Linked DNA regions of Canis lupus familiaris. The protein of the gene in region 1 purifies or fractionates together with the protein of each later gene. This does not show direct contact. Links are inferred from orthologs where the notes say so. Each region holds a gene or a part of one and is shown on either strand. Other genes may lie near its edges.

What was found. The genes of interacting proteins can lie anywhere in the genome.
Region 2: the proteins of CSNK1D (region 1) and SNX24 purify together in Homo sapiens (affinity purification with mass spectrometry; 3 studies listed by BioGRID and IntAct, counting the BioPlex papers as one, with this or other methods). This does not show direct contact. The link is inferred for Canis lupus familiaris from reciprocal best matches to the Homo sapiens genes CSNK1D and SNX24.
Region 3: the proteins of CSNK1D (region 1) and CRY1 purify together in Homo sapiens (affinity purification with mass spectrometry; 3 studies listed by BioGRID and IntAct, counting the BioPlex papers as one, with this or other methods). This does not show direct contact. The link is inferred for Canis lupus familiaris from reciprocal best matches to the Homo sapiens genes CSNK1D and CRY1.
Region 4: the proteins of CSNK1D (region 1) and AKAP9 purify together in Homo sapiens (affinity purification with mass spectrometry; 4 studies listed by BioGRID and IntAct, counting the BioPlex papers as one, with this or other methods). This does not show direct contact. The link is inferred for Canis lupus familiaris from reciprocal best matches to the Homo sapiens genes CSNK1D and AKAP9.

Annotation. Positions count from the first base shown.
Region 1 is NC_049230.1:906,601-910,979, reverse strand, and holds part of CSNK1D (casein kinase I), read right to left. Parts: intron 3,158-4,379; coding exon 3,047-3,157; intron 1-3,046. UniProt on the Homo sapiens protein: Essential serine/threonine-protein kinase that regulates diverse cellular growth and survival processes including Wnt signaling, DNA repair and circadian rhythms. It can phosphorylate a large number of proteins.
Region 2 is NC_049232.1:12,602,544-12,607,499, reverse strand, and holds the start of SNX24 (sorting nexin-24), read right to left. Parts: upstream 3,279-4,956; 5' UTR 3,211-3,278; coding exon 3,151-3,210; intron 1-3,150. UniProt on the Homo sapiens protein: May be involved in several stages of intracellular trafficking.
Region 3 is NC_049231.1:32,733,409-32,738,436, reverse strand, and holds the start of CRY1 (cryptochrome-1), read right to left. Parts: upstream 3,279-5,028; 5' UTR 2,657-3,278; coding exon 2,499-2,656; intron 1-2,498.
Region 4 is NC_049235.1:17,541,924-17,547,053, reverse strand, and holds the start of AKAP9 (A-kinase anchor protein 9), read right to left. Parts: upstream 3,279-5,130; 5' UTR 3,087-3,278; intron 2,704-3,086; exon of another isoform or gene 2,487-2,703; 5' UTR 2,470-2,486; coding exon 2,422-2,469; intron 1-2,421. UniProt on the Homo sapiens protein: Scaffolding protein that assembles several protein kinases and phosphatases on the centrosome and Golgi apparatus. Required to maintain the integrity of the Golgi apparatus. Required for microtubule nucleation at the cis-side of the Golgi apparatus.

The DNA of each region.
Region 1 (4,379 bases):
ACAAGGTCATTACACTTTCAAAAACAAATTACTTATGGGGTGGCTGAGAAACAAAAATCCTTAGGCAAGGATGCCAGGGGCAAACTCTGGACCATGGCTTCTCCCTCAGGGCACACTGGAACTGGTACGCGAGCACCAGGTGGGGCTGGGGTCCTGCCGCCTCTCAAGTAGGTGGGAGCAATGGGTGTTCACTTTAGGATCAGTTCCCACATATTACATATGTTCTCTGCTATGGGAACTGACCAGGACACAGGACGAGAGAAGGGAACTGGGGGACTCAGCCACTTCTACCGTGAGGGCCATGCGTGCTCAGTGCTCACCCTCACTGCCAGCCCAGATTTTATACAAATGGCCCACTCCACCCTCCCACACACCACACCCGCCCTGAGCCTTGACCAGAAGCAGCTGTGGACTGAACAAATGTTCTCTACTGAGAGGCCACCAAAGAAGGGATGGTCCAAAGCCACCCTGGAGACATCCAGATGAGAAAGAGCAGTTGATGTCTAAGCAGGACCTGGCACTCTACTGCATTTTGAGAAGAACATAATGTCTCCCCAAGTCATTTACCAACACATCTAAGCAAGGTTTATTCCTGCTTTTCCAGGCGTTTAATCCACCATTGCCAGCAAACTTGCGGCAGGTAGAAGCATCTGGGGCATGGTGCTGACTGCCAGGCAGGGCAGCTGCATGCCTCCTCAGGAGCAGAGCTGCTATGCAGCAGTGGCCTGGGCACGACGATGCTCAGGTTCAAATCTCTGTCCTCGGGCAAGTTCTGCGTATCGATTTCCTCAGTCAGGACACAAGGCTGGCTGACATGTTTCTGCACAGGACTGTAGTGGCAGCAGACATGCCAGTGTCTGTAAGTGGAGACCAACTCCTCCCCTAGGCGGCCTGCTTGCCTAAGTGCCGCTCTCTCTAGCCAGGCACAGCACCACTGCCACAGGCCAGGCAGTATCTAGACAACCCTGCACAGCAAGCTACAGAGTGCACGGCAGTCTCAGCTCCCTCCTATGATGTATCCGCACATGCAAGCAAGCCCAGGATGCAGCATTAAAAGCACCTAAGAACCACAGTCAGAGATACTTGCCGTCCCTTCACCACAACCAAGTGGTCTGTGTGTATTTGCATGAGATGTAATGCAGAAGGCTGACCTTCAGCAAGAGGACCCCTGCATCCTGTCTGCAGCCCCAGCGGCTTCATCTTGGTTAGGAGGAATTCACACAACACTACCAGAATCATGGACTCTGCGTTTCTGGACATCATCTCTTTTCAAAAATTGGTATCTTTACCTTTTTTTTTTTTAAAGCACCTTGATAATATCCATTAAGTGCACATTTGAAACAGGAATAAAACTCAATCTACAGGTGGAGGATGGCAAGAAGGGAGAAGATCCTAGGTTTTTAGGGTCCGAGAGAAGGGGCACAAATCTTAACGCAAGGATTCAAAGTGAGATGCAATGCTGCAGCTTGGGCCCTCAGGCCTGCCGCAGACGATTGTGGTTCAGGGACAGAGAAATCCCATCCTGAAGGGAATAAAGTCTTCTCTGTCCAGTCTCTCTTATCCAATTCCTATTGGGGTATCGGCTGACTGTCTTCTTTCCTTTTGCCCTCTGGCCCTCCAGCTTGCAAATTCTCAGAGATGCTGCTTGTTAACACTCAACACAACTTTTAACTGGAAGCTTTATTCAACCCCCAGCATCAGGCCCTCCCCAACCACGAAGGCCACCTCCCGAGTCATCTCCTTTTCATCACCACCTGTTAAGCTGTGTAGACTGTCCTTTTTTTTTTTTTTTTTAATTTTTATTTATTTATGATAGTTACAGAGAGAGAGAGAGAGGCAGAGACACAGGCAGAGGGAGAAGCAGGCTCCATGCACCGGAAGCCCGATGTGGGATTCGATCCTGGGTCTCCAGGATCGCGCCCCGGGCCAAAGGCAGGCGCCAAACCGCTGCGCCACCCAGGGATCCCTGTGTAGACTGTCCTTGATGCCTAAGAAGCCGGCCTTCTGCTGAGGGTCACCAGAGGGCAGACAAAATGGCTGGGTCCTCTGCTGACCACTCCCTGGGGCCCACAGGGGCCAGGACATTTTTACCAATGGCCTCCTCAGGCCCCCAGAAAGCCGAGATGGGACACCCTGGACCTCCTCTGTGAAGTGTCCTGAAGGACTGTTTGTGTTGCTCTGATATGTATGAGAGACATGTGTTGCTGTGTAAAGCAAGAAATGTTGGTTGCTAGTAGCAACACAGATTAAACCACTTTTGTGGAGGAAAGATGCCAGAGTGAAATTAATCCTCCCTTCTCACCTGAAAAAACGCAATTCAGACTCTGAAGACAAGCTTTCATTTGCAAGGCACCGAGAACACTCCAAACTATGAAAGTACCACAGAAGCTTCTGCCACGAAGGGTCTCCTAACAGGATGAAGTGCAGCCATTCTTCAGACACAAAGCCTTCTTCCCAAGGGGAGCTTCTTGGGGCAAAGCACGGACATGTCCTTCCTAATGCTGAGGTGTCTTCAGGACTCTGAGACGCCCAAGAAAAGCCCCGCCTGCTCCCTTAGCTGAACTATCTTAAAGTCCAGAGAATTCTAAAAGTTAAGATCAGACATCAGATACCCTTAGGCCCAAGAGAAGGTTTCGAAGAATTGGGACAATAATTGAGTTAGAAAGGGACACAGAGATCACAGAGTTCAAACTCTGTTTCACTCAGGAGCGTCTGAAGGGACTCCCCACCAAAGCTATGAGCAAACCATGTGACCGAGGTGGCATACCTAACAATCAGGAGTGTGCCTGAAAAATCACAATTTACACAAACCCTGAGTTCAAAGACACGACTAGTTAACATGAGGCTACGGAAAAGCAGACAATCATGCTTTATGTTGAACGAGGCCTTCAGTAGGCCTCTTGGTAGCTGAAGGAAGCCACATGACTGAGTCACATGTATGGACGTTTCCCTCCCTTTCCCAAATAAACCAGAGGCTATGCTTCATGATCCATTCTCCCTCATCAAATACAACCCTGGTTTTCTTTTGAACAGGTAAAGGGCATACCTCCTCCCTGCATCATTTTGTAGATTTTGCTCTCAATGTGGAGCTGAGGGTGTTTGGTTTTGACACATTCAAGCTTGATGGCAACTTCTTCTCCTGCAGCAATGTCCGTACCTTGGCAAAAGAGAAAAACCACAAACATTAATAATCTGGTGTCCACCACCTAACGCAATACTATAACACACCACAGACCTTCTGCTCCGCTTTCCCCTGTGAGATGGGTGTCGGTGGTTGACAAACCCTGTGGAAAAACCATCATTACTTTCACTTTTTAAGCAGGAAGTCTTTGATATGTATAGAAAAGTCTTATTTAGTATTCCCTCACCCACTTCCATATGTCCCACTCTGATCACGTCAATAGGGGACCCAGAGACAGGGCAGTGCATTTCTCTCTGCAAGGACTCCCATCTTTTCTGCCCTGAACTTTCCTGTCCCACCAGCTGGTGGTTGGCCCCTGTATTCACCTACCCAGGGCGAAGCAGTTCCAGGGTGACTGTGTGTGCTCCCCATTTCTCCATGCTGCCTGGATAGGCCTGTGTGGGTGGGTGGGTGTGGGCCTTCCTTTTTACCAAACACCCACGGCTTCAGTCCACCCACCCTGGGTGTTGAGCCGCATAAATCTCAGAACAGTTAAGGCACTTCTCCAGTGGAGCTGGTTCCCCCAAGGACACTCTGCAACCTTCTCCCTTCCTGGGGAATAGGACACTACTGTGCATTTCTTACTGATACTGGACCAGAAGGGTGGACTCCCCTTTAGAGCCCAAATGACACTTATGCAACATGTACCTGTCACATACCTTTTGTTAGTTTTATGCTAAAACTAACAAAACATCAGCTAATACCTCCTGATAACAGCCTATGTTCTATCTCTGCTTTACTTCAATTAAGGAAATGCAGATATGACAACGCCCTGCCCCAGGCTTCACACACAAATGCTCCTGAGCTCCCATTTGACCCAAAGCTGTGCCCATGAAACCTTCCTCAAGAAGCTTTAGCTGAAGAGAACAGGGAAGAGTCTTAACCTACACCTAGCTCTCCCCCAGGTGCCTTGTAAGTACAGGTGTCCCTTATCTGCAGTCAAACTCGGTCTGCAGACAGATGCTCCTGTGCCTGCCCTCTGGTCAGGTCAGCAGGAGCCTCACGCCACGTCACACACCCGCATCACTTCCCTCCCGCCCCTCGTCACATCGGCACTTCACCACTTCACAGGGTCACAAGAAAGGGGAGTACAGCTCAGTAGGATTTTTGTGAGACCCTAGTTACAGAACTTTATTTACAATATGTTGCTATGATTGTTCTATTTTATTATTAGCTATTGTTGTGAATCTCTCACTAT
Region 2 (4,956 bases), on another chromosome or scaffold:
TTCCTCCTCATGACTCCAGATAACATCAGGGTTCCCTAGCCCTTCCCTACTTTGCCCCTCTTGGCTAAGAATCCCTAAGGATGGGAACAATATCCTTCTACCTTTCATTCCACACTGGACATCACGCAAGCCCAAAGTCAATGTTTAAGTGTTCGAAAGGCAAAAGTTCACTCTTTAAAGGTAAATTACCTTGTACAGTGAGCATAACTTTGTATAAACTTCTTTTTTTTAAAGATTTTATTTATTTATTCATGAGAGACACACACACAGAGAGAGAGAGAGAGAGAGAGAGAGGGGCAGAGACACAGGCAGAGGGAGAAGCAGGCTCCATGTAGGGAGCCCGACGTGGGACTTGATCCTGGGTCTCCAGGATCACACCCCGGGCCGCAGGCGGTGCTAAACCACTGCGCCACCGGGGCTGCCCTGTATAAACTTCTTGACTAACAATTGAGCAAGATCTATGAAAACTTTAAAAGGCCCAGAAGTACCACTTCTAGTTAATGTTCTACAAAAATCCTAGTCGTAGGCATAAAAAAAGCATGCACAGTGATGTCTCATTTCAACATTTGACACGGTTGCTAAAAATTAGAAGCAAATGTCAGTGGCCATCAACAAGAGATCTGGGTAAAAAAATGATGGCATATTCCTCATGAGGGCGCTCCCTTTGCTAGTAGCTAGGAGGAGACAGATCTATCCATATCAGAACAGAAATATATTCATGTTGTAGGATGACAGTATAGTCAAATCTCACAATTTATTCCAAGAAAAAAAAAGGAAAGTTTTCATGGCATAGAGAAAGGGCTCTAAGAAAGCACCCTCACATTTTATGTCTTGAGGGCATGGGATTAGAAGGAAGGAAGAACCACACTTCTTTACCATAAGCCTCCAATCACTGAATTTGTTCAAATGCAAGATTTCTTAAATATTCTTCAATAAACATCATCACTAAAGTAAAAAGACGCTTTTTACTCTTAAGTGTACATTATTTCACAAGTTTTTGGTTCAGGAACCCAAGATTATATTTTTTTTAATTCTCAGGTTTTTTAAAAAGATGAAATATTATTCACTGCTAAGCTCCCAGGACCTAGAATAGAGACACCAAGCAGACACTTATTTGCTAAATGAATAAGTGCTGTGCAATTATAAAACAGCTGCTCAGAGGGAACGAAGGATCCAGAAGCTGCTCCATTGACTCACACAGGAAAAAAATCACTTGCAAAGGTATCTTAACAATAAGGTCACCAATTTAAATGAATTAGGTTGTTTTTTTCTTTTTTATTTATTTATTTTTATTTATTTATTTATTTATTTTTTTAAGTGAGCCTTTGGACTGCCTGGGTGGCATAATGGTTTAGCGCCTGCCTTCCGCCCAGGGCATGACCTGGATCCTAGGATCAAGTCCACATCAGGCTCCCTGTATGGACTCGGCTTCTCTCTCTGCCTCTCACTCTCTCCCTGTGTCTCTCATGAATAAATAAAATCTTAAAAAAAAAAAAAAAGCCTTTAAAAAGCACACAAACTATCATCATATAAGCAATCTTCAAACTGCCAACTTGGCCAAGAACAGGGCTCCTTCCAAATCAATTTAATTCACAATGTGGCACATGCCTGGTCATAATACAAGTAATTAAAAGGTATTTGAAAACACTGTGGAAAAACACAGCTCCTGTAAGAGAAGAAACACCAGTAATGATCTTTTTCAAAGTTCTTATTTGAGAAGGTAAGTAGCTTTTCGTTTGGATTACTGAGACCACCTTCATCTGAACACTTCTAAAGACCAAACAAGCAGGCTATAATCTTCAGATCCTGAAGAATGCCCCAAAAGATGGCAGGCCTTTGATGACTACCGATGCTGATTTGGGAGAGGTGTGTGGGGTTGTGAGAGACATACTTGAACTGAAGAAATAGAGCAAGGTTTCAAGGGTTTCAGGAAAAGGCTTTTCACAGTTTTTTTTTTTTTTTAAGGAAAATGCAGAATACTTAACCAAATATTAATTCATTGGGAAGACTTATTTATATAAATAATGGCCAAACAGAGCTCAGCCTCCCCACGGGAAGGTACTCAGTACTTCTTTTGGGACACCTGAACCCAGAGGTCTACTTAACCCTAAAAATCCACATACTCCCTGGGTTTGTTTGTTTTTTTTTTTTTCCCAATCACTTAATTCCACTTTCAATCCCTTAATTCCAAAAATTCTCTTGAGAGGGAGATTTAAGCCTCCCTATGAAAACACACAAGGTTCCAAATAGGCTGTCACCTATACCCAAGAATACTTAGGAGAGAGAAAGGGTAAAATACCCTCCCAGATTAACATAAACGGTGTTTGGCAAGTGGGTGAGTTCTCTCAGCCCTCTCAGACTGCCGTCTGCAATCTTCTCTTTAACAGCTGGAAATAAAGTCTTCCAAGGCATTTCTCCCTCCAGCAATGACGGTGTAGATGAAGGCGTCGAAGTTCATTGGGAAATCAGCCACCTACAGTTCAGCTACTGAACTCTGGATCGAAGGTTCCAGGCCCTGGCGTTCACCCCCCGGACCCAGCCTTTCACTCGGGAGCCCGGGGCCCGTGTCTCGGTTCTCGGGGATCAGCCTTAGGTCCGAACAGGTGCGCAGTGAAGCACCTGACTCTGCCCATTTCAGGGCCCAGCAGAACGGGGCGGGGGGGGGGGGGGGGGCGAACTTTGGAAGCCATCGGATCGGAAAGCAACACAGGTGTGCACTCCGGCTGATAAAGAGCTACAGACGACCCTTACAATTAGCCTGTTTATGCGTCTGAATGAATCCCGCAGAACTTGGAGGGCGGCTGGGGTCCGGGCGGGGGCGGCGTAGCCCACCGCGGGCTGCCCAGGGCGGGCGGGGGAGGGGGGGGGAGGCGAGCTCCGCGCCGGGGCTCGGCTGCCCGCGCTGCTGCCCGGAGGCCGGGAGCGGGCGGGGGGGCGGCGGGGGAGGGGGAGGGGGAGGGGGAGGGGGCGAGCCGGGGCCCCGTCGCCCTGGCAACGGCGCGGGGGAGCAGCCCGGCCGCGGGCCCCGGGGGGCGGGGGGCAGCGAGGGACCCGCGCGGGGGGCGGCGGCGGCGGCGGCGGCCCGGGCCCTGCGCGCTCGGCGGCCGCCGTCCCGGCTCGGGGGCCCCGTCCGGCCGCGGCCGCGCCTACCGTGTATCCCCGCTCCAGGTCGCTCTCCTCGTAGCGAAAGGACGGGATGTAGACCTCCATGGCCGCGCCAGCCGGCAGGCGGAGGGCGAGCGGGGGGCGGGCGAGCGGCCGCAGCTCCGCCCCCGGCCGAGCGCCCCGCCCCGCCCCCGCCTCCCGCCTCCCGCCTCCCGCCTCCCGCCTCCCGCCGCCGCGCTCTCCGGGGCTCGGGGCGGGGCGGGGCCCTGCGGCCGGGCCCGGCCCTCGGGCGGCGGAGCCGAGCTGGGCCCGGAGGAGGCGGGGCCTCAAGGCCTGCGAGTCCGCCGAGGAGGGGTGCGCGCCCCCGCCCCGCCCCGCCCCGCCCCGCCCCGCCCCGCCCCGCCCCCGCCCGGCCCCTCGCAGGCCGCGGACGCCGCCCGAGCCGCTGCAGGCCGCGGAGCCGGGAAGCGCCCAGCCCTGGTGCCGCCGGCGCCCGCACCTCCTCCCGCCGCCTGGCACCGCCGCGAAGCCTCCGGCCTCACCGAGGCTCCTCTGGTGCCCCGGGTCTCGGCCGACGGGCCCGGGGACGCCGTGCCAACACCCACCCCGGGCGTCCGCGGATCGCGGGGGCGAACACTCTGCTTTCTTGTCGCAGTTTTAAGATGCTGCCTCGGAGGAGCTGTTGCGGGTTTCGACTGTAAGAGAAAACAGAAGACACACACACACACACACACACACACACACACACACACGGAAAAGAGAAAAAGGAAAGGCAGATGAGGGCCAGAATCTGCCTGTCGGGCCAGGACCAAATAACCTGAAATGACCTAAACGATGGAGTTCCACTTGAGGAAGCTTGATGACCAGGTTACCTTTGTAAACCCTGAGTGTCCTCCTTGGGTGAGTGCTTGGAGCAGAGTAGAAACTTGGGAAGTGACTTGTGGGTGAAGGAAAAGTTGGCCTGGGGCACTGAGGTTTGGGGCCGCAGGCGTCTGCGCTGGAGGCCGGGGGCACTGCAACTTGGTAAACTCTGAAATTTATGCTGAGTTCCTGAGTCAGGGAGAACAGAAGAATTAGGCCCTTTGCTTCAAGAACTTGCCTGATGTGGACTGCAAAAGCCTTCCGGCTTAGAGGCGTCTGAAGACCCATCCTCCAGGCCACACACTTGCAGCTCTGGGATCTGCCACTCGGAACTCCCTGCCTCAGCAGACAGCTGTGTCCTGTGACCAGCCCACCCTTCCTCTTCTGCCGGCCAGCACCATCCGCTGTTAGGAAACAGCTCTGTGGACACCGCGCTGAGTTTAGAGGCTGGGCCCTGGTTCCTTAAGCCTCTGGCGACTCTTAACAGTGTATTGTGGGATTTGTTTACCTGTCTGCCTCACCCAGTTGGTTTTAGGGCACGTACCTTAAATTTTTTTTTTTTATTTCCTGCTTGGCATATTGCCTGGCACATTTTTCTTGAAAGCTTTATATAAGCTTTTAAATATTTAATCTTTACAAAATCAGTAGAATGCAGCGGGTACTATAAAGCAGATACTGTTACATATCATGTCTCAGGACTAAGCTTTCTAATAACCCCACGAAGAAATGGTATGTGCAGTAGGACTTTAAAGGACTAAGAAGTAGTGTTTCTGTATTTCATTTTTAAAATAATAATGCAGAGGCTCTTGGCTGGCCCAATCAGTAGATCATACAACTCTTGATCTCGGCATCATGAATTTGAGCCTCACATTGGGTGTGGAGTTTATTAAGAAAAAAAAAATGTGTGAGTCTGAAAGTTTAAAATAAATAAATAAATAAAATAATTATGCCTGCTGATGGCAGAAAACCAAAACGATTTCCAGATGGGTT
Region 3 (5,028 bases), on another chromosome or scaffold:
GGGTGTACAAAGATAAGCAACATATAATCCCCATGCTACAGAAGCTTAAAGTCTAGATTTTATAAACTTATCAAATACTCTAGAAGAAATGGACTGCAAACATTTAATTAGATATTACTCACCTAGGGCTTTCAATTTAGTAGCAAATAACAAAAAAAGCACTTACTACTATCAGTCACATTTTAAGCATATTACATTTGTTAACTAATATAATCCTCTTTAACAATTTTATGAAAAGGGAATTATTATTCTATTTTTAAAGATACTGTTAATACACTAAAATATATTACATTTATCTTTCCTCAGAATTTGCATTAATGACATCAATTCTGCTAATGAATGCTTTTATATACAGTTATTATATCATTTCCATAAGCACAGAAACATACTGCAATTTCTCCAATCTTTAAAAAAAAAAAAAGTCCTCTCGAGTTCACATCCCAATCCAGGAACCATCATTTTTCTGATCCTCTTACAGCAAAACTCCCCTAAAAGAGCTGAATTGTCCCCCAAATTCTCTCTTCTCAGTCTCTCTTTGGCATTCCAGAAACTACCGAAACCACTCCAGTCAAGACTATAAATGGCTTCAAAATCCTAAATACGATTTTCAGTTTTTAGTCTTCATCTTACTTGACCTATCAGCAACACCTGACATAGGTAAAGCACGCTGTTGGAAACATTTTCTTTACTTGGCCTCTAAGACACCAAAACTCTTCTGGGTTTTCTTCTTATCTTACTAGATATTCCTTCTCAATTTCCTATGCTAATTCTTCCACAGCTCCACAATGTCTATACATTAGAGTACTGAAGACTCAGTCCTTGGACCTACTCTGTTTTCTATCTACATTCACTTCCTTATGTTCTCATACAGTCTCATGGCTCCACTAGAATTTAACTTTAACAGGGTAGGGATTTTTTAGCTATTTTTGTTAACGCTGAATGCCCTAAAACAATGCCTGGCATGTGGTAGGTGCATGATAATATTTGTTCAATGAATGGATGAACGAATAAATGGCTTTAAATGGTATCTACAAACTGATAACCTTCCAATTTATATGTCCTGCCTGGAACTCTGTCCTGAGCACCCAATATATCCAACTGCCAATCTGCCATATCTACCTGGATGTGTAATAAACATCTCAAACTTAATCAAGTCCTAAAGAGAACTCCAATCACCCTCCCACTGGCTTCTGCAAACAACTTCACTTAACCCTAGGTCCTCAAACCAACAATTTTGAAATAATTTCCTAATCCCTTCTCTTTCTTTAATACCACATATTCAATATGCTAACATTGCGGATTCTCACTTCCAAAATATGCCCAGCATTTGACTACTCACCACATCCACCACTATCACTATGGTTCAAGCGGCTATCATCTCTCACCTGGATGAATGCAACAGCCCCCTGTTTCTTGTCCACCTTCCTCCCCCGCAATTCACAACTATGATCAGAGAAATTTTTTCAAACTACTATATACTTGACTTTCTGAGACATGTACTGGAAAAGGACAAGCATTTTTGTCTGTTTCTTTCCCTGCTACCTCCCTGGTGTTTAAAGCAGTGCCTGGTAGACAGTAGTGATCAATAACCTATCTGTAGGGCAGCCCCGAGGGCTCAGGGGTTTAGCGCCGCCTTCAGCCCAGGGCGTAATCCTGGAGTCCTGGGATCGATTCCCAGGTTAGGCTCCCTGCATGGAGCCTGCTTCTCCCTCTGCCTATGTCTCTGCCTCTCTCTCTCACTCTCTCTTTCTGGGTCTCTCATGAATAAATAATAAAATCTTAAAAAAAAAAAAAAACCCTATCTGTAAAACAAACGCTTTCATTTCCACCAGGGGGCCTAAAAATCATCTAGCCTGGGATTTCAGGAAAAGATCATAAAGCTTGTCGGAAGATTTTTTTTTTCAGTGCTCTAATCCCTAGAAGGCTTTATACTTTGCCTAGAAAGAAAAACTGTGCTTTGTCTCGTCAACCACAAGGAGGAGTTGAGAGGAACAGCTGAGCAAAGAGAAACCAGATGTTTGCCTTGCTTTTCCTACGGCGACCTCGAGGTGGAAGAAAAGTGGATTTGGAAGTGCCTCTACTGAATGAAAGATTTTCCCCACACTATGAGTTACCTAGACACACACAAACGTAAACACCCAAAGCCGCGATCCTTCCGAAAGCCGCCAAGAAGCCAAGAACATCAATCCAGCGGCCACTGAGAACCGGGAGGGCGTTTCTTGTGCTCCACCGCTAAGAACTGCCCCACAAAACCAGGGGAAGTTTCCAGTGGCGCGGAGGCACGTAACTCACACACGAAGGCCGAGGTGATCCAGGCTGCCAGCACGCTCCGGCAGGGAACTACTAAGCCAATTCTACGTACTACCCGAGGCACCTCTAATCCGAAACGGCCTAAGGACGGCGGCCCCGGGTCTAAATTCTCAGGTCCGGCCGGCTGCGGGTCAAACCCTGACCCGTTAAACACCGAAAGCCCCAGGTCCCACGGCATTTCCACTCACCGCCACCTGTTGATGCCCACATTGGAGGAGCCGGCGAACCAGGGGTCGAGGATGTAGACGCAGCGGATGGTGTCGGCGCCCTGGATGCACTCCTTCAGGGCGGGGTTGTCGTGAAGCCGGAGCCCCTTTCGGAACCAGTGCACGGCGTTCACCCCCATCCCGGGGGCGCGGCGGGTCCTCGCCCAGGTCCCCCCTCCCCAGATAGTCAAGGAAGGAAGGGCCGGCTCATCCCCGTCACCTCCGCTTCCACGGGGAACCGCCACACCCAAGCAGTGGGGACAGGGCGGCAGCGGGGGAAAGGGCCAACCGAGTCCGAGGAGGGGGCCGCAGAAGGAGCGGGCGCTGGAGGCGCAGCTGGAAGATGAATGGAGGTTGCCCAGTCAGCCGAGTGCGGGTGTGACGCCCTTTAGGAGCCGGCGCCCTCCGCCACCGCTCGCACGAGGCGCATCGCTCCGAGGCCTCGGGGCCCGGCAGTGAGCACGTTCCACGAGCCCGAGCCGCCCCGACGGCCCCGACCGGCGCCGGCAGCCCCAGGAGGTTCGTCACGGAAACCTCGCCCCACCGAGGCGGCCCCTGAGAAGAAAACGGCCCGCCTGAGGCCAGCCACCGAGAGGGAGGAGCGGAGATCCAGCCACCGTCGGCCACGCAGTCTCTCGGCCCGGGGAAGAGGAGCGAGCACCGAGGCGGTGGTCGAGGCCGCTGGACGGTTGCCGGCCGGTGACCGGTCCCGAGGCTGCCCGGGTGACTCCGCCGCCACCGCCGCGTCAGCGGCCTCGGCCCCGCCCCCGGCTCCTCATTGGAGGGCGCGCTCCCCACGTGACCCCCGGCACCTCACGTTTCTGAAGTGTGTTTACTACAGAGGCTCCGACTGAGGGATCGGCTCGCGATTCAGTCGCTTCTAGGCGGCGGCAGCTGCTTGATCTCAAAGCCGTCGACCCCTGCTCAGACTCTGAGCTCTTTTCCTCGGCCCCTTTGCTCCGCCGGCTGGTCGCCTAGAAGCGCGCGCGGTGACCACAGGCCCCATGTGAGGGACGGCTTAACCCCGCCCCTGGAGGCCGTGAGCGTCTCCTATTGGCTGAAGTTCTCTGAGACCCGGATGAGCACGGGGATGCGGGGAGCTCGCGGGCGCGCGCTCGGCTCCGATGGTGCGCGTGCGCTCTCGCTGCGTTCCAGAGGGAAGGAGGGCGCGGCCGGCGGAGGGAGCGCGCTCCGGGATTCCTCCTGTGGCGTTCCGGGAAGGCCTGCAACAGCCGGGGGTCCCCGGAGAGTCGGCGGAGGAGCCGGAAGGGGAATGAGCGCTGGACGCGTTGGAGGCAGAGAAGAAAGCTCCGTTAGACTTCAGGCCCAGCCTTGTGCAGCCTTCAGTGCAGCCTTGGCCGAAAAACCCGACTTCGGAGTGCGTGGAGCTGGCGCGCTCCTCCCCATTCTTCCGGCCCTCGCGGGGTGGGGGTGGCTCCCTGGGGCCCCACCTCCATTCTTCTGGCCCTCGTGGGGGTGGGGGTGGCTCCCTGGGACGTGTTCTGGGGAATAGGGGGAATGGGCAGGGCGGGTGCCAGGCACCCGGAATCCCCTCATGCTGTATGTGTATCTTCAACCTGTCGGCCCTGATTTCTCACCCTTGGTGTGATTAACAAGCCTCTTCGTAAAGAGGCCTTCGTCCACCTTTCTAGCGACAGTGAGCCTCAGGCCAGGGCATTCCTTTGGCCGTGTGATGCCCTTGTATTCGTTAGGCGATGGCTGAATGAACCAGGCACTGTAGGTACCCGAGGGAAATAGACAAAAGCCTCAGCATTGGTGGATTTTACGATTATGTCTCTTAACCTTCCCACGTGCTATTTTTTTCCTTTATAAAATGCTCTTCTTTAGAATGTGCTACTCACCACAGCAACCTTTGAGCTATCTAGTGTACTTCTACACAGGCCTTTAGACTCAGATGAAGTGCTACCTAATTTGCAAAAATATTCCTGTCGTCCAGAGCAGATTTAGGACAGACACCCATCTCCCCAGGTGTGTCTCTGATACATCACCCCACATACTATTGTGAAAAGTAAATGAAGGGAACCTACTTTAATACCTAGCATGAAGTAGGTGTTCAATAATATTTATTATCATAATAATGTATCTCTGATTTCCTCTAAAGTGTGACTTCTCAAGGACAGGGTGGCTGTCCAGTTTGTTTTTTGCACCATCAATACACAGTAAAGAGCCTGACACATATGCACTGCAATGTTTATTGAATGAATGAGTGAATGAATGAATACTCTCTGCCACCAATGTGTCCAGCAAGGTTAAAAGGAGGAAAGATAGGGCAATTGTTGAGTTGTGTCCTAAAATTCATATAATCCCTAGTACCTGTGAAGGTGACCTTACTTGGAAATAAGGTCTTTGTGGATGATCAAGTTAAGATGATGTCATTAAGGTGGGCCCTCATGCAATATGACTAGCGTCTTTATAAATTTGGACACAGAGGCAGACCCACACACAAAGAGAATGGCTTGTGAAGATTGGAGTCATGGTGCCATAAGCCAAG
Region 4 (5,130 bases), on another chromosome or scaffold:
AGAAAGCCAACTTTCTAAATAAGCTTTAGAAATCATCAGTGTAAGTGATTTCTGATGCCATCAATAACAGACTTCCAATTAAGAGAATTACTGCTATTAAATTACAACATTCTAATAAAGTAGTACCTATGAACGACTCATAGTCATTCTACTCATTCACTCATTAAGCAAATATTTGAGTACCTACTATGTGGTAGGTACCATGACTGGCTGCATTAATATCAAGAGCCTTCTCTGTAGTCTTAAAAGCAAGGTAGCAGCATTTAACACACTTTTACAAATCAAAAATTCACCCCAAATCCTACTGTACCTCTTCTCTCACTGTGCATATTACCCAGTGTCTGTTTCTCCCACTAAACTGTGAGCAACTCGAGAACAGAGACTGTCACCATCTCTAAATTTCCAACTGTTGGTATAAAACAGGAGTTGAGTTCAATATAGGCTTGCTGAATGACTTTACAAAATTTTTAAGTCCTAATCTAAGAGCACACAAGTTAAAACAATAATATATACACTAATTTTGATGATGCTGTTTTCATTCTATTTTTCATATTTTTATTGGTCATCAATCTTAATGGCTGCGTAATATTCCGATGCACTCACATGATCTGAAAACAATGATTCTAATTCTCTCCTTGTTTCCAGTGTTTTTATATTGTACAGCTAATGTTCCTGCAAAGAAATCTTGCCTTATAGATCTGACAGATTTCTCACTAGAAAAACTGGGCTCAACTCCAGAAGACAATAATCCTCTACAATATAAGTGACTATTAAAGGAAAAAGATTTTCACTCCATAAGCAGAGTACTGAAGGACAGACAAACACACACACACACACACAAAGAAACTAGAATTTTTTTTTTTTTTGGCCAAATCAATTTAAATAAATCCTGTTATACGTGTTGTCCAAAGCAAAGAATATTTTGTAGGACTACTTCGTACATATCTTTAGGAAGATAATTCTGGGGGCAGGCAATCCAAACTTTGAATTAATGAAATGTCTAATTAGAACGTCAATGCCTCCAAAGGAGGCACACACTTTATCCACCTTCTTGGATTCAGAGCTTGCTCAGACTTTCAGGTTGCAGAAATGTAAGCAGCTCTGGGCTTCTTAAGATTCCTTGATTCCCCTTTTCCTCCATTTACAGATTTTAAAGTAAATATCTACCTGGTAACATAAAAGCCCTCAAGCTTTGATCTCAGATAGAAGGAACTTACGGGAAAGCCAACTGTATTTCAGAAATATGAAGCTAAGTTATATGCATACTCATCTAAGAAACTTGGGTTGAGCATCTACTACCGCATCTCTGCAGTATAGCCCTTCAATGATTACTGAAATCATGGACCCCTGTCCCTTTTATTTATTTGGAGGAAGGAAAAGAGAGGAAGAAAGAAAAAACAACAATTAACTATATTATAATTTAATTGTGGTCCAAGTATGACTGTTAACAATTATCTCTAATAAGACGGTATATAATCTATAAAAGATAACGTCGTCATAACGGAGGATGGGGGGGGAGGCTTGGAGACCAGCTAGAAGACAGACTCGACTATGTAATTTTTAAAAGAAATATGCTATTTAATTTAGGTCTCGTCTATCAAATTTTTCAGAAGGTCGGTGAGGAGTATCTGTTTATAGTCAGGAATCCTTGGCTTTACAGGTTTGTTTGTTTTTTTTTTTCTTTCACGCAGACATAAGATACGGACTCACTGGAACGCATACATCGATTCGATCACTGAGAGCAGGAATTCCATAGGTGTTGCTTAGAACATGGTACCTTCCGTCGCCCGCAGTGGGTTCAGACTGCACTACCGTTCCACACACCACAGAAGCGCCTGCCACGACAAAGACCTCCAAACACAAACGCAGAACAGAACGCTGTGTCTAAAGCGCCCCCGACGCCAACTCCGCAGCTGGCACTTGTGGCACACGGAGGCCACCGCCAAGGCAGCTGCCACAGGCCAATCGCGTACCCAGGGGTGCCAGCCTGCCACCGAGAAGGCTAAGCTGGTGAGCGACGCGCAAATCCCCCACCAGATAAAGAGAAGCCTCGATCCCCACCCCGGGAAGCACAATGCCTGCAACTAGGCAGAGAACTCCCTCGAACAGTGAAAGGCTGGACGGTTAGAAGCAGCGAATCCCAGCCTCCGGCAAGGCAGGAAAGGAAGGGTTTTATTTGGGCATTCACAAGGCAGAGCCGCACCACCCAACGTTCACGGAAGTATCATCCGCTAGGCGGTCACACCAAGCGTTTTCAACTGGAAAAAGGAGAAGAGGGCGAAGGGGAAAGTCGGGTCCTGCGGCAGCTCCCGGCCGGGCGGCGAGCCGGGGCTGCGGCGACCTCGGCCTCCCAGGCCCTCTCCCGCCCCTCTCCGGCCACCGCCTCCCACCGCGGGCCCCAGCAGCCTCCGGGGCTCTTACCTTCGCTTTGCCGGCCTCCAGCTTCCTCTGTCTCTCCTCGTCCTCCATGGCCTCTGACGGGAAGGCTGGGGGAAGACAGGGAGTGGGTCCGGGGTAAAAACGGAAGGTCGCTGCCGAGGGACGTGGGACAGCAAGCCCCGCCGCTTCGGAGGCAGGGCCGGGCCCGGCGCCCCCCGCCCCCCCGCCCGGCGTGGAACCAGTCTCCGCGCTCACTGGCCGACCGCCCTCCGCCGCCCGGGGAACGCCGTCACCGCCGCCGCCATCTTCGTCTCCACGTAAACACACGGCAAGGCGGGAGTGGAAGGGGGGGGCACGTCGGCCCGCGCAGCCGCCGGCCGCCCCGCCGCTCCGGGCAGGTGCGCCGGCCGCTCCTGCAGCGCCGCCCCCCCAGCCCCGCGCCTGCCGCGCCGCCCCGCCCCCGCCGGGCTGCCCCGGCCCGGCCCCCTCGGCCCCCGCTCGGACCCCGGCGGCCGCAGGCGCAACGCCCGCGGGGGTGAGCGCCCTTCCCGGGGGACGAGCGCCCGCCAGGTGGCGGCGGCCTGGCTGAGGCGCCGGGAGGGAGGGGGTGTGCCAGGGGCGCCGGCAGGATTCCGCCCACCGCGCTAGGGACTCGGTGGTCGCTGTTAAAACACTGAGATTTTTCCAGTTACAGAAATAATGTATACCTAACGGCGCGACCGGTGACCGATGAAAAGCCCCAAGGAAAAGCCTGGGGTGGGGCGGAGAGGAAACGACCCGCCGCACGTGAGTTTCCCAGCCTGGATCGACTCCTCCAGTGGAGGAACTGGGAGATGCGCCAGCAGCTCTCCTTACTCCTGCGGCTGAACGTCCCGCCCTCCCCACGCGGGCCCGCCCAATCTCCCGTCCATCCTTCAAGGCCCACCTACACGCCGCGCGAACGGCTCCTCTGGTCCCTTTGTTCCCTCCACCGCAGCTAGGAGTATCCAGGCGTGCTTACTCCCTTTCCACTCCTCCTTGGCCTCCCTCTTAGCAATGACGTCTTGAAAGGAGCCTAGGCTTCGGACAAAAGCCAGTATACACTTTCTAGCTTGGATGACCTTGAACAACTTACCTATCCTCCCTCAGCTTACCTGGAAGTTTTGGAGGGGTCGTTAAGATATGTGAGTCCATATATGGGACTGCCTCTGACATGTTAAAAATGTCCTTAATTAATGGTAGTTTTCCCCCCTCTCCTTGTGTTTCCTTTATGTACTCTGCATGATACTTTAGTAATTTATGCACCACTTCTTCACCTCATACGCTAGATTCCCTGATGGCAGACTGTCTTGCTTATTTTGGCATTACTAAAATGACTAGCATAGTTTTGCACCCGATAAAACTTGTTAGATTGAACTGAGCCATTTTAATAACTTTCATCTCTTCCCTAAATACTTCCTTTTTTCTCCCCACCCTTTTACTCTCAAATCCATTTTTGAGGTGAGCTCATGTTAATGTCTCAGGTTGATTACTCAGGCTGATCATGGTTCTCTGTTTTGAGCCAGGTTGGACTAAAACACTGGCAGGTGTGAACTGAAATAAGCTATAAAATCAATCATAGAAGGGGTGCTAGTGAAAATAGTGTTGAAAAATAAAAAGATTAACAATCTAAAGTCTACCACAACCAGAAGAATAGGTTAATTTTTTTTTAACTTAAATTCAATTTGCCAACGTATAGTATAACACCCAGTGCTCATCCCATCAAGTGCCCTCCTCAGTGCCTGTCACCGGAAGACTAGGTTTAAACAGCTCTGATTTATAAATTCTTTGTTGTTGTTGTTTTTAAGATTTTATTTATTCACTCTAGAGAGAGAGAAAGGGAGAGAGTAAGGCAGAGACATGGGATCCCTGGGTGGCGCAGCGGTTTAGCGCCTGCCTTTGGCCCACGGCCCGATCTGGAGACCCGGGATCGAATCCCACGTCGGGCTCCCGGTGCATGGAGCCTGCTTCTCCCTCTGCCTGTGTCTCTGCCCCTCTCTCTCTCTCTCTCTCTCTCTCTCACACTCTCTCTCTCTCTCTGACTACCATAAATGAAAAAAATATATATATATATAAAAGAAAGGCAGAGACACAGGCAGGGGGAGAAGCAGGCCCTCTGCAAGGAGCTCATGGTGGAACTTGATCCCAGATCCTGGGATCATTCCCTGAGCCGAAGGCAGACGCCCAACCGCCAATGTACCCAGGCGGTTTATAAATTCTTAGATTTAAAAAAGACTATATTCTCAAACTCCACGATGCATACATATTTGTACCATTTGTAACATCCAAGTATATACTGACCTATTATCTTAAACTGAATTGGGCAATAGATGAGACATCTTACCATAGGAATTAAAGAATTAAGCCAGTAAACGGAGAAGTGATTTAGTCATTCGCCAAGCTAAGAGTCAAACTAGGACTACAACCAGGTGTTCTAATATTGCAGTGATTTAAATACTGCCTGGATTGAGGGATTATGTTTCTAGATTCTAATTGCCTAAAAGGAAGCCCTAGGTTATCTGACAAGATATATATTTGTTAATAGACACTGCTTTCTCAGTGACTAAGGAAGTCAGCTGTTTGTTCCAGTACGTGCTAAAAATATTCAAAAACCTTCTAAAGCCACAAGATTATTTCAACCTTTCCCTTCACTAAGACCAATCATAGACACCTGTTACATATATATGATCAATAAAAGTTGAAAGAGAGACCCCTGGGTGGCTCAGCGGTTGG